Caenorhabditis elegans: one gene and its partner. The protein of the gene in region 1 interacts with the protein of each later gene in a biochemical or structural test. Each region holds a gene or a part of one and is shown on either strand. Other genes may lie near its edges.

Evidence for each region. Proteins that work in one complex are often made in the same cells at the same time.
Region 2: the proteins of tnt-4 (region 1) and tni-4 interact in far-western blotting, tested with the Caenorhabditis elegans proteins (one study listed by BioGRID).

What each region holds. Positions count from the first base shown.
Region 1 is NC_003283.11:1,988,937-1,994,486, reverse strand, and holds tnt-4 (Troponin T, skeletal muscle), read left to right. Parts: upstream 1-1,573; 5' UTR 1,574-1,600; coding exon 1,601-1,617; intron 1,618-1,665; coding exon 1,666-1,851; intron 1,852-2,659; coding exon 2,660-3,281; intron 3,282-4,234; coding exon 4,235-4,330; intron 4,331-4,394; coding exon 4,395-4,475; intron 4,476-4,684; coding exon 4,685-4,810; 3' UTR 4,811-5,012; downstream 5,013-5,550.
Region 2 is NC_003282.8:5,202,724-5,207,669, forward strand, and holds tni-4 (Troponin I 4), read left to right. Parts: upstream 1-1,867; 5' UTR 1,868-1,883; coding exon 1,884-1,907; exon of another isoform or gene 1,908-1,928; intron 1,929-2,191; exon of another isoform or gene 2,192-2,212; intron 2,213-2,279; exon of another isoform or gene 2,280-2,300; intron 2,301-2,850; exon of another isoform or gene 2,851-2,871; intron 2,872-2,883; coding exon 2,884-3,124; intron 3,125-3,231; exon of another isoform or gene 3,232-3,253; intron 3,254-3,427; coding exon 3,428-3,572; intron 3,573-3,617; exon of another isoform or gene 3,618-3,638; intron 3,639-4,006; coding exon 4,007-4,181; 3' UTR 4,182-4,401; downstream 4,402-4,946. Other genes in the region: Y59E9AL.36 (RRM domain-containing protein), read right to left, coding at 4,549-4,946. UniProt on the Caenorhabditis elegans protein: Troponin I is the inhibitory subunit of troponin, the thin filament regulatory complex which confers calcium-sensitivity to muscle actomyosin ATPase activity.

The DNA of each region.
Region 1 (5,550 bases):
AAAAAAATTTTCAGAGGAAAAGGCCTAAACATTTTTGAAAATGAATAAGTTACTTTTAACTAAAACTTTGCATATACTTTCATTTATCAGCTTTACTTTAGTGGAGAGAAAAATAGAACTTTGGAGTATTTTTCCATTTTTAAAAAACTACGCATATTTTTTTCTTTGATGAGTAATATTCTTGCATAAACCTTATGTATAACAAAATTTTCAACTACAAAAATGTGAAAAATAAAAATTTAATTATTTCAGCTCTTGACAAAAGTTTTGTCAAACAAGTAGTTTTAGAGTTACAGGCGAAAATCTGGAAAAAGGGTGTTTATTGAAACTTGGACTTAGCTTGTTTCAACTGACTGTAACTTAGCAGCGGGCACAGATAGGAAATAGTGGTAAACTGATAAAATGTAGTAATTGATGTGCTTATTAATGTTGTAATTGATTACTTTTTTGTATCTTGCACGTTCCGGAAGTTAGCGCCCTTCAAACTTTAAAAAGTCATTTTTGCAAGCATTTTTGGCCATTTTAAGGAGTGTAGCGCCACCAAAAAGATACGCATGGGGCGTCAACTGCAGATTTTTATTCAACTGACTGTCTAATACATCAGGGCATATAAAGTTTTTCATTTCGCCGAAAAATAAAAAAAAATCGAAAAAAAAATTTTTTTTTCGTCATCACAGTTCTGAGATTTAAAATATCTGGGAGTAGTCCGATATGGCTGATATTGTTGGGCTTATCATTACTAACAGTCTTCTATATAACCACAAAAAAATATCTAAGAAAAAATCAAAGATGAGAAAAAGCGACAAAACTTATTGACTGACCTAATAGGTTAATTTATGGGTTTTCTTGAGAGTTATGAGCTAAGACTTGCATGGCATATGTTTTTCGCTGTTTTGAATCATTTACAGATATTTTTTCCACTTTTCAGAAGAAAAAATTTTTTTTTGAAATTTTTGAAATTTTTTTAAAAAGGTGGTCTAGCCACTTTCAAAACGTCATAACTTTGCTGAACCTGGACCGGGGCAGCTAAATTTCTTGGAGAGATCATCATTTTCACTCTTTTATCGAAAAATTACTATGGCATGTCAAAGTCCGGGGTTCAGTTTTTCGACTTCCCTTGTAAGCATTGAATTTAGAGGGGAATCCTTAAAATTTCTGATCCAAATCCATGAGTTAGCCATTTCAGATCCTTGACTAACCATCACTTCCTGACTTTTTTTCCTGCTCACTTACCACCAGTTCCCCTGTCTCCACCAGAGCACATCACCGATCGCGACATGATTGTACACACAGGTAGCTCTCAAGAGAGCTTACCCGCGATTTGCCAGGATACTCTCCCAAATCTCTCTCATGTTTCCATGATCTTTTTGCGCAGTTTGCGGGATGAGAAAAGAAAGCTAACATACACTGTACGCCCACCGAAACTCGAGATCCGCCTCCCCACTACCACTTGTTGGAATTCATTGGGGTGGGCAAACTTTGAAGACACTATGTAACACTTGCTCTTCTTCCCCTTGCTTCCAATTTATGTTTCATTTCCTAACTTTTGATTTTTTACATTTTTTCAGGGGTTTTTTTTACAACCAATTCACCAATCAACATGTCTGACGAGGAATAGTGAGTTGAAATTTAAAAAATGTTATATTTCAAGTTTTAAAATTCCAGCTCCGAGTACGAGGATGAGGAGGTAGAAGAGGAGGAAGTCGAGGAGGTCGAGGAGGCTGAAGCCGAAGAGGAGGAGGACACCGAGCAGCAAGAGGAAGAAAGGTTCAAGCGAGCTTCTGTCGACACCACGGCAACCGGTGGTCCAGCAACACCGGCTGCTTCTTCGCACGCTCCTGTCTCTTTCGAGTACTTCTTTTTTTCAATTCTTTCCTATCTTATAGTAAAAACTACTAGGCTTTTCTTATCCAAGACCGCCGTGATCTCTCTAATCAAATCACTAGTACTGTTGAGTGGAAAAACTTTTGAAAAGCCTGCGTCTCCGCGCTCGGCCACACTATTTTCTTCGCACTCAAGCACATACACTTACGGCATCACTGTTTGCACTTTTTTCTTTCTTTTCACAATTCCATTATCCATGCAATATTGGAGTGGGTTAGAGGGTCAGATATTTGGAAATAGTTTACTTTTAAATGAGCAACCGACGAATCGAAGTATCCGATGAGAACACATCTGTATTTTTGTATAAAGTAGGAGCAGCCGACATATTACGGGACCAAAATATCATTAAAATCATGTGAAGTCGGGCATGCACTTTTGTTGACCTTCGAGATGTCGGCTGCAAAGTTTTACTGACTGTCATTATGAAGTATGAGCTGCCGACATTATACGGGATCCGGCAATTTGTAGAAGGCAGCTGGCAAACCTCGGGTTTCTCAATTGTCGGCTGCACACTTTCAATGGCTAGTGTAGGAATAAGAGCAGCCGACATATAACGGAAATCGAGATCTCAATGAGAGAGAGATCTCAATATCCGGAACATTTTATTTTTTCAAAGCCTCATTAAAAAACAATTTGCCCTGAAAAATGTCGGTTGCTATCCTAAATTGAAAAAAATTAATTAATGCCAAATATCTAACCCTATAAAATCACTGAGACACTACTAAATCATCACATTCTGAAAAAATAAATTACCCTAACAATATGCATTTTTCAGCGGAGAAGCTCTAAATGAAGGTGAGAAGGCTATGCTCGCCGCCAAGAGACGTCACGAGAACGACGAACAGGCCAAGTTGGAAGACTACGAGAAGGCTCGTCGCTCCGAACGTGAAAAGGAAGAGGAAGAGTTGGAGAAGCTGAAGGAGAAGCAAGCTCAGCGTAAGCTCGCCAGAGAGCAAGAAGAGCGTGAAGCTGCCGAGCGCAAGCGTCTCGACGAGGAACGTAGACAGAAGGAGGAGCAGGAGCGTCGTGCTCGTGCCGAAGAGGAGAAGAAGAGGAAGGAAGAGGAGAAGCTGAAGAAGGCTCAGATGATGGGTGGAGGATTCCCAGGACAACAGGGTGGAAGAAACTTTGTCATCCAGAAGAAGGAAGAGTCCGCCGGAGTTGGAGATCGTTTCGGAAACATCGTGCAGGCCAAACAAGAGATGGGAATGACCAAAGAACAACAGGAAGAGGCTAAGTCGGTCGCCATGGCCGGTATTCGTAAGTCGATCGCCGAGGCTTCCACCATTCTTCCAAATGATATGAAGGCCAAGATCAAGGAGCTTCATCAAAGAATCTGCAAGTTGGAGGCTCAGAAGTACGATTTGGAGAAGAGACACGAGAGACAGGAGTACGATGTAAGTAGTCTTAGTCTTAGGCTTCGGCTTATGTTTAGGCTTGGCATAGTCTAGGCTTAGGAATAGGGTTAGGATTAGGCATATGCTTGGGCTTAGGCTTGGCGTAAGTGGCGAGCGGTAGCTAGGCTTATTAGGCTTAGGCTTAGGCTATGACTTAGGCCAAAACTTACTGATTGGCTTACTAGGGAACCATCAGAAGGTGCCCATCGGACTTGCATATGAAACCTATGCCATTCGATAGCCTATGTCTTAAAACGGTTACTCGTGAATTTTTAGCTGCGAATCTCCAGAACCAAGTTCACGGCGAGCTCTCAAAGATCCTAAAATAGCACTATAATGAAGCATTGAATGGCCAATATTCCTAATTTACTTTGGTAGCTCATATCTCCGTGGATAATTTTTTTAGAGAAAAGTCATCAACTGATAAGTTGTTGATCTTTTAGTAAAGAACAAATTTGTAGTTGAAAGTTTTCCACCAAAAAAATTCTGTTTCAGATAGAAGCGCGTGAAGTGCGGCAACTGTTGTTACTATTTTATTGCTGCTATTATAATGTTTTTATCTGATACAAAAAATTGTTGGTAAAAACTTTCAACTACAAACTTGTTCTTTACAAAAAGATCAACAACTTATCAGTTGATGACTTTTCTGTAAAAAATTTATCCGCCGAGATATGAGCTACTAAAGATAATTAAGAAAATTTCTTCTTTAGATCGTTACAGTGCTTCGTTACAGTGCTATTTTAGGATCTTTGAGAGCTCGCCGTGAGCTTGGTTCTGGAGATTCGCAGCTAAAAATTCACGAGTAACCGTTTTAAGACATGGGCTATCGAATGGCATAGGTCTTATATGTAAGTCCGATGGGCACCTTCTGATGGTTCCCTAGATAGGCTGCAGCATAGGCAGATTCTTTAACAATTTAACCACTGAAAATACGGAAAGTTTGCAAATTTCAGCTGAAAGAATTGAATGAGCGTTCCCGTCAAGTGGCCCGTGCCAACAACGCCAAGAACGGACAAGTCAGCGGAGACGACACCGGAGGAAGACATCCAGTATGTTCATTAGGATTTTTGGCATTAATAGACAAATTATAATAACTAACAAAATTATTTTCAGCCAAAGGTCCAAATCTCTTCCAAATACGACAGACAAATCGACAGAAGAAACTTCAAGGAGCGCCGTCAGGTTTATGAGAACGTAAGTTAAAACATTTGTTTGAAAATTGAATTGGGGGCTGGTTTTTATCTGAGAATTTACAAAACCCTGATTTTGGAATACCAAAAAAATAGAAAAATTAGAAAATTTAAAATTGGTTAGGTATGTTATATTCCTAATTTTTTGTATTTTCAGCTTACCTAGTTTAATTCAAAATTATTCGATTTGTTACCATGTTTTTTAATTTCCAGAAAATCGCATTCCCATGCTTCCCAGGAGTTGCCCCACCACCGGCATTGTACGAGAAGGTGATCAAGAAAATGGACTACGAGATTCAGCAAGAGCTTGAAGCCGCCGAGGAAGAGGAAGACTATTAAGTCGATAATACCAATAAAAAAACCAAAAAAAAAAATCATTTATCCAAGTAGTTTTTATCTTTTTTTTTTTGCAAATACGTTTAATTGTTGTTCAATTTTTCTCTGAAACTTTCAGAAAAATCCAAAAAAAAACCCTCTCACTTTATGTTCCCATCAAACTTTTCCCAATGTCTAAAGTTAAAAATAAAGTTGAAGCGGAAATATTCTGTTATCATTTCAGTTACTGACCTCAATTAATAAAAGCGGAAAGGCGGGCGAGAACGTGGCACTAGAATGTTATCACTGAAATTGAAATAGTTCTTGTTCTGATGATGATGTTTGTGGCTATTTCGGGTGGCTTCCTGAGGAAAAGATCAAATAAGACCGAAATTATATAATTCGACACTTACAAAAAAACCCATTTTATGAGATTATTTTTTTCTGAAAAATTATATTTTTTTCAATGTTTAAATTTTTGAGAAAATCAATTTATTAATTCACCGCTTCGGAATGTTTGGAATTTTTAGGGGTGTCTTCCCGCTTATTAGCCTAGACCTACCTACCTACATGTCCGGCCATCACCTACTCGTTGCCTGCCAAAGCTTTCTGTATTTACTTTATTAGTAAAGCCTCCAATCTTAATTTTCAAACTCCTTCTTTAATGTAAGTAATATATTTTTTGAAAAATAGTTTCACATAATGATATGTAGAGGAAATATGACAATATTGTATTGCTATTCTATTTCTAAAATTTAGAAAAT
Region 2 (4,946 bases), on another chromosome or scaffold:
ATAGCCGGATTTCTGTAGCTTTAAAATGGGAAAAGAGAGAGATAGTAATCAAACAAGCTCGCGCACAAAATGACAACTCTTGAGAAGTTTTCCCTTTCTCTCTTTCTATCCCCCAAACCCTATGATTATATCAGACAAAACGTGGGCTATCTTGCGCTACGAGATAGAGGCAAAAGTGCGTGGTAGGCAGAAGGCAGGTGGAGCCATTTGAAAAATGAAAAATATGTTACCGTGGGAACATATACCAACAATTACGGTTTCATCAAGGCGATATAAGTGTTTAAATCTTTCAGCGAAACTTCATTAAAACTTTCCGGACAATCATCTGCTACCCAGTTTTGAATTTTCTTATTAAAATACGGTGCCCAGTCTTACTGAAGTTCCCAAATTATGGAATTTTTTACAAGTCAAGGTTTAAAAATCGAAGAAAAATTGGCAACGACAGGGGTGGGGTCTATAGTACTATTTAAACGCGCAAATTTTTTGAATTCAACAAAATTTGCAATTGTATTTATTAAACATAATCGTATATTTTTTTGATTACTGTGAACAGTGAGAACTGCAAAAAAAATGTATTTGAAACCTTTGGACAACTTATCATATTTTTTACGGAAACTTGTACCTTCAAGTCGTGTTGTAACAAAAAATATTTTTGAGCCTCAAATCATATTTGATTTCAAACTAGTTTCTAATAGTAAGATAAAACTTGTTAGAGAAACTGAATTTATTTTCCGGTATTTTTTTTATTTTCATCATAATTTTAAATCTCCTACAGCAGTTAATGACTTATTGAAGCATTAATTAAAACGAGTACCAAAATTGATTGCCTTCAATTAAAAAAGTAGCAATCTGAAAGCTACAAAGCTCACATGTGAAGCTTTCTATGTTGTCAAAAATTCAGCAGCTGATTGGCGGTAGGCACAGTCATAAGGCAGGCAGGCAGATATTTTTCTGCCTACGTGGAATCAACTGAACATACATTTTACTGGTATAAAAATAACAGGCGATTTCCAATCATGATTCACAGTTCCCATTTTAAGCTTGTTGTTGTCCTGATAGAATTTAAATAATTTACTGTTTCTTCGATAAAATAATAGGAAATTTTTTAAAGCAAGTTAATTTATCATAGTAACGAAGTTATCATTTTGAAATGCTAAAAATTTAGTTTCTTTCAGTAGAAATATTGTCTTGATACTTTTTTTGGTCTGAAAATTTACTTTTCAGTGTCAGGCTTTTTCAGCAAAAACTAGAAGTTTTTCTAGGAACCTTGGAAATTCAAATTTTTTACTATTAGTTTTCAGTTTTAAACAAGCTTATGATTATTATACCCATAAGAAAATAATCATTTGCCTTTAAAAATGTTTCAGTTCTCATAAAATTATCTACTTCTATTCAAGAACCAAAGCAGCAACCATTTTTAATATAATTTTTTCTCACTTCAACTCCAATCCCTTCCATTTTTTTTTCCAACAATTCCCTTGACTGCAACAGACTGAGGATATTCTCAAGCACCCGCTTCTTCCCGTGATGCTCTAAATCTCTCAATAATCCATACTATTTCCATGTTACTGTAACTGAAGAGGAGGTGGTGGGAGGCGCCGGGATCCCCCTTTCGCAAATATCTTCCTCTCGTCTCTTCATTTTCCGTGCTATTTCGAAAACACACTTACCAGGCAATCGGGAAAAGCCGAGCCAATTCAGTTTCTCCGAGCAAATTTCTTGGCATTTTCGCCGTGTCCCCCACACTTTTTCGTTATCTTTTCTTTGTCTCAACCCAACTTTTACCGTTTCACAGCAATCAATGATTCATCTCGTAGATCTTGTTCTGATTGGGATCTTCTTTAAATTACGTATTAAATTATTTCAGGTGATAACCAATAACCATGAGTGACGTTGACGCTGATGAGGTGAGTCGTGGTTTTATTTCATTGCAAAGATAAAAATTGATTTGAATTTGTAAAACACATGAAACAGTAATTTTGTAAACTTTTTGGTAAACCAAAAAAAGTTTCCAGCCTTATCCCCCACATATGGATGCAGAAGTAAGTCTAGACAGTTGAAAATTTTAAGTACAGATTTGGTTTTTTTGTTGGAAATGGTTTTTATTGAGTTATTTTATATTTTTTCTTGAAATCTGAAAGAAAATTTGAGATAGTTTTTACTTGTAAAAATGAAAATATTTCCAGTGTTTTTGGGATAAACCCTTCAATAAACATGAAACTGTTTTAATTCATAAATTAACAACAATCTGAAACTGTAACAGTTTTTGAAATAGAAATGAATTAGTGGGAAACAATGCATTCGTTTACTATAATGTGACTGTAATTTGTGGGCTCGTTGAAACAATATATATATATATATATATATATTTATTCGACTAGTTTGAAAATTGTGAGCTTTGGTATAAAAAATTAGTAAAATTTAAAAAAAACGTGTTTGTGAACAAGCAAGATCTTACTAAGACCTTACTTACTAAGACGAAGCGATTGCTTTGGCGCGACTGTATATGTTCATATTATTTATATAAAAACATAGTGTTTATAGTTAGAAACATTTTTGGTTATAGTTTTTTTGAAACAGTAACTTTAAAATAAATAAAAAATTGTTCACCTTTTTGATGTATAGTGATTGTAAATGATTCATATACTTGTTGAAACTGTTTATAATGTCTTTTACTTAGTTGAAAAGCGAATTACATAAAAGCTGCCGTTACAAGACCCCATAAAGATTTTAAATACTCAGTAAGTATATTTTTAATATTAAGGATTTTTTGTTCTGCAAAATATTTTTGGTTCACCCTTGTCATGTTTCGTCTTCAGTTCAAATATTGAGTTACCGTAACCGCCATATTCCCATTTCCGTACCTCAAATTCACATTTCTAGGCGCGCAAAATGGCGGAGCGCGAGCGCAAGAAGGAAGAGGTGCGTAAGCGTCTCGAGGAGGCCTCAAGAATGAAGAAAGCCAAGAAAGGATTCTTGACACCTGAGAGAAAGAAGAAGCTTCGTAAGCTTTTGATGATGAAGGCCGCCGAAGATTTGAAGCAACAACAAATGTTGAAAGAGCAAGAGAGACAACGTATTCTTCAAGAAAGAATCATTCCACTTCCAGATTTGGATAACGAAGGTAAGTGTTCTGAAGATGAAAACAACTATTTTATGCTACTTTTGGATATCAGTAAAATGCAATTATGTATGAAAATATAGAACAAAACACTTAATTTAGTAATTAAAGAACATTTTGCTAGGATGTCAATACCTCTCCAAAATACGTTTGGTTAAATAGAAAATACGAAACAGTAAAATTTTTAAATAAAAACTTGAATTTTTTAAATCTAATAGACTACTTTAAAAAGTGTTAAAACTCTGTAAAAACTTCATAATTCCGGGCGGTTACCTACATGAGTTTTATCTTTATTAAATTTTCCAGATGACCTCGAGGCAGTCTACGATGAAATCCGCGAGAGACTCATCGATCTTGAGTCTGAAAACTATGACGTCAGCTACATCGTTCGTCAAAAGGATTTCGAGATCAACGAGTTGACCATTGCTGTCAACGATCTTCGCGGAAAATTGTTCGTTTTTTATATTTTTTGAGTTTTTGGGGGTATTCATTTTAACCACATAATTATTGGATGGCACTGAGAAAATACTTTTCGCCATTTTTGATATTACTATCTTGAAACGGGAAATTTTTTCAAATGGAAATAGGAAAATTAATTACGAAAATGACACCAAATCAAAAAATATTGATATTGTAGAAAATTTTGAGAACTGTTAGCTTCACCAATTTCGGGTCCTGACACGAACGCAAACTTTTCAGCTACAGTACACGGGAGTATACAGTTCATTTTTAGCTTCATAGAGCGAATGTTCATATGATACCCAGATGCGAAAATTTACAATTTTTAACGCAAAATACATATCAATCCCGGTCTCGACAGGACCGAATGTTGAAACGGCAAAAAATTAAAGTTTCATCCAAAAAATAAAAATTTAAAATTTCCAGCGTGAAGCCAACCCTGAAGAAGGTGTCCAAGACCGAGGGAAAATTCGACAAGCTTAAGAAGAAGGAAGCCACCAAAGTCGATTTCCGTGCTCAACTCAAGGTTGTCGACAAGAACGAATTCGCACTCGATGAGGAAGACACTGAGAAGAAGGAGAAAGCCGCGTGGGCTAAGTAATTTCCAATAAAATCATTGAAAATTTCGGATAACTGGCACCCCCTGGAAACGTCTCGTCAAATTCAACTCGATCAATCCCTTCCCATCCTAAAAAATTCTCCTTCTTTATAAAAATTTCACCTTCGCATATCCATCGCCCTATCCATTTGCTTTCTTGTTCCTGTATTTTTTGTCTAAAAATTGTGCTCTGAAACAACAAGAATAAATCAAAAAACAATATATTATACAAAAAAATCGGGATGAATAGTTCATAAAAATTGATTGATGTAGATCTAGAGATTGAACCGTGGTTTTTTTCTTGAAATTTTAACAGGGAAATGGCATGTGTGGGGATTTTACAATAATTATTAGAAAATACATTTTTAAATTAAAACTCCATATCGGGAACTTCAATAGCTTGATCTTCTCTCATTCGTTCTTGTTCCAGCCTGATCAACTCTTGCCATTGTCGCTTCATTTCCAGATACTTTTTCAACGAAAAAACTTGAATCGTCTCGAAAAATCTTCGAACCTGGCCTCCTGGAATGTACTTGGCAAGTTTTCGGCACATTTTCTTCCTCTTCCTCCGCCGATTCTTCTTCTTCTTGACAAGTTCTGGTTTCTCAATACCTTCCTCCTTTTTTGTTGGCGGTTTTTTCTTCTTCGGTTTTTCTTTTTTCGACTTTTTCTTCCTCTTGTTTCGTGATCGCTCAATATTGATGTGGTATGGAATTGGATTTTGTAGACTTTCGGAAGTCGAAGGGGCTTCGTCTTCAGGTGAAGTTG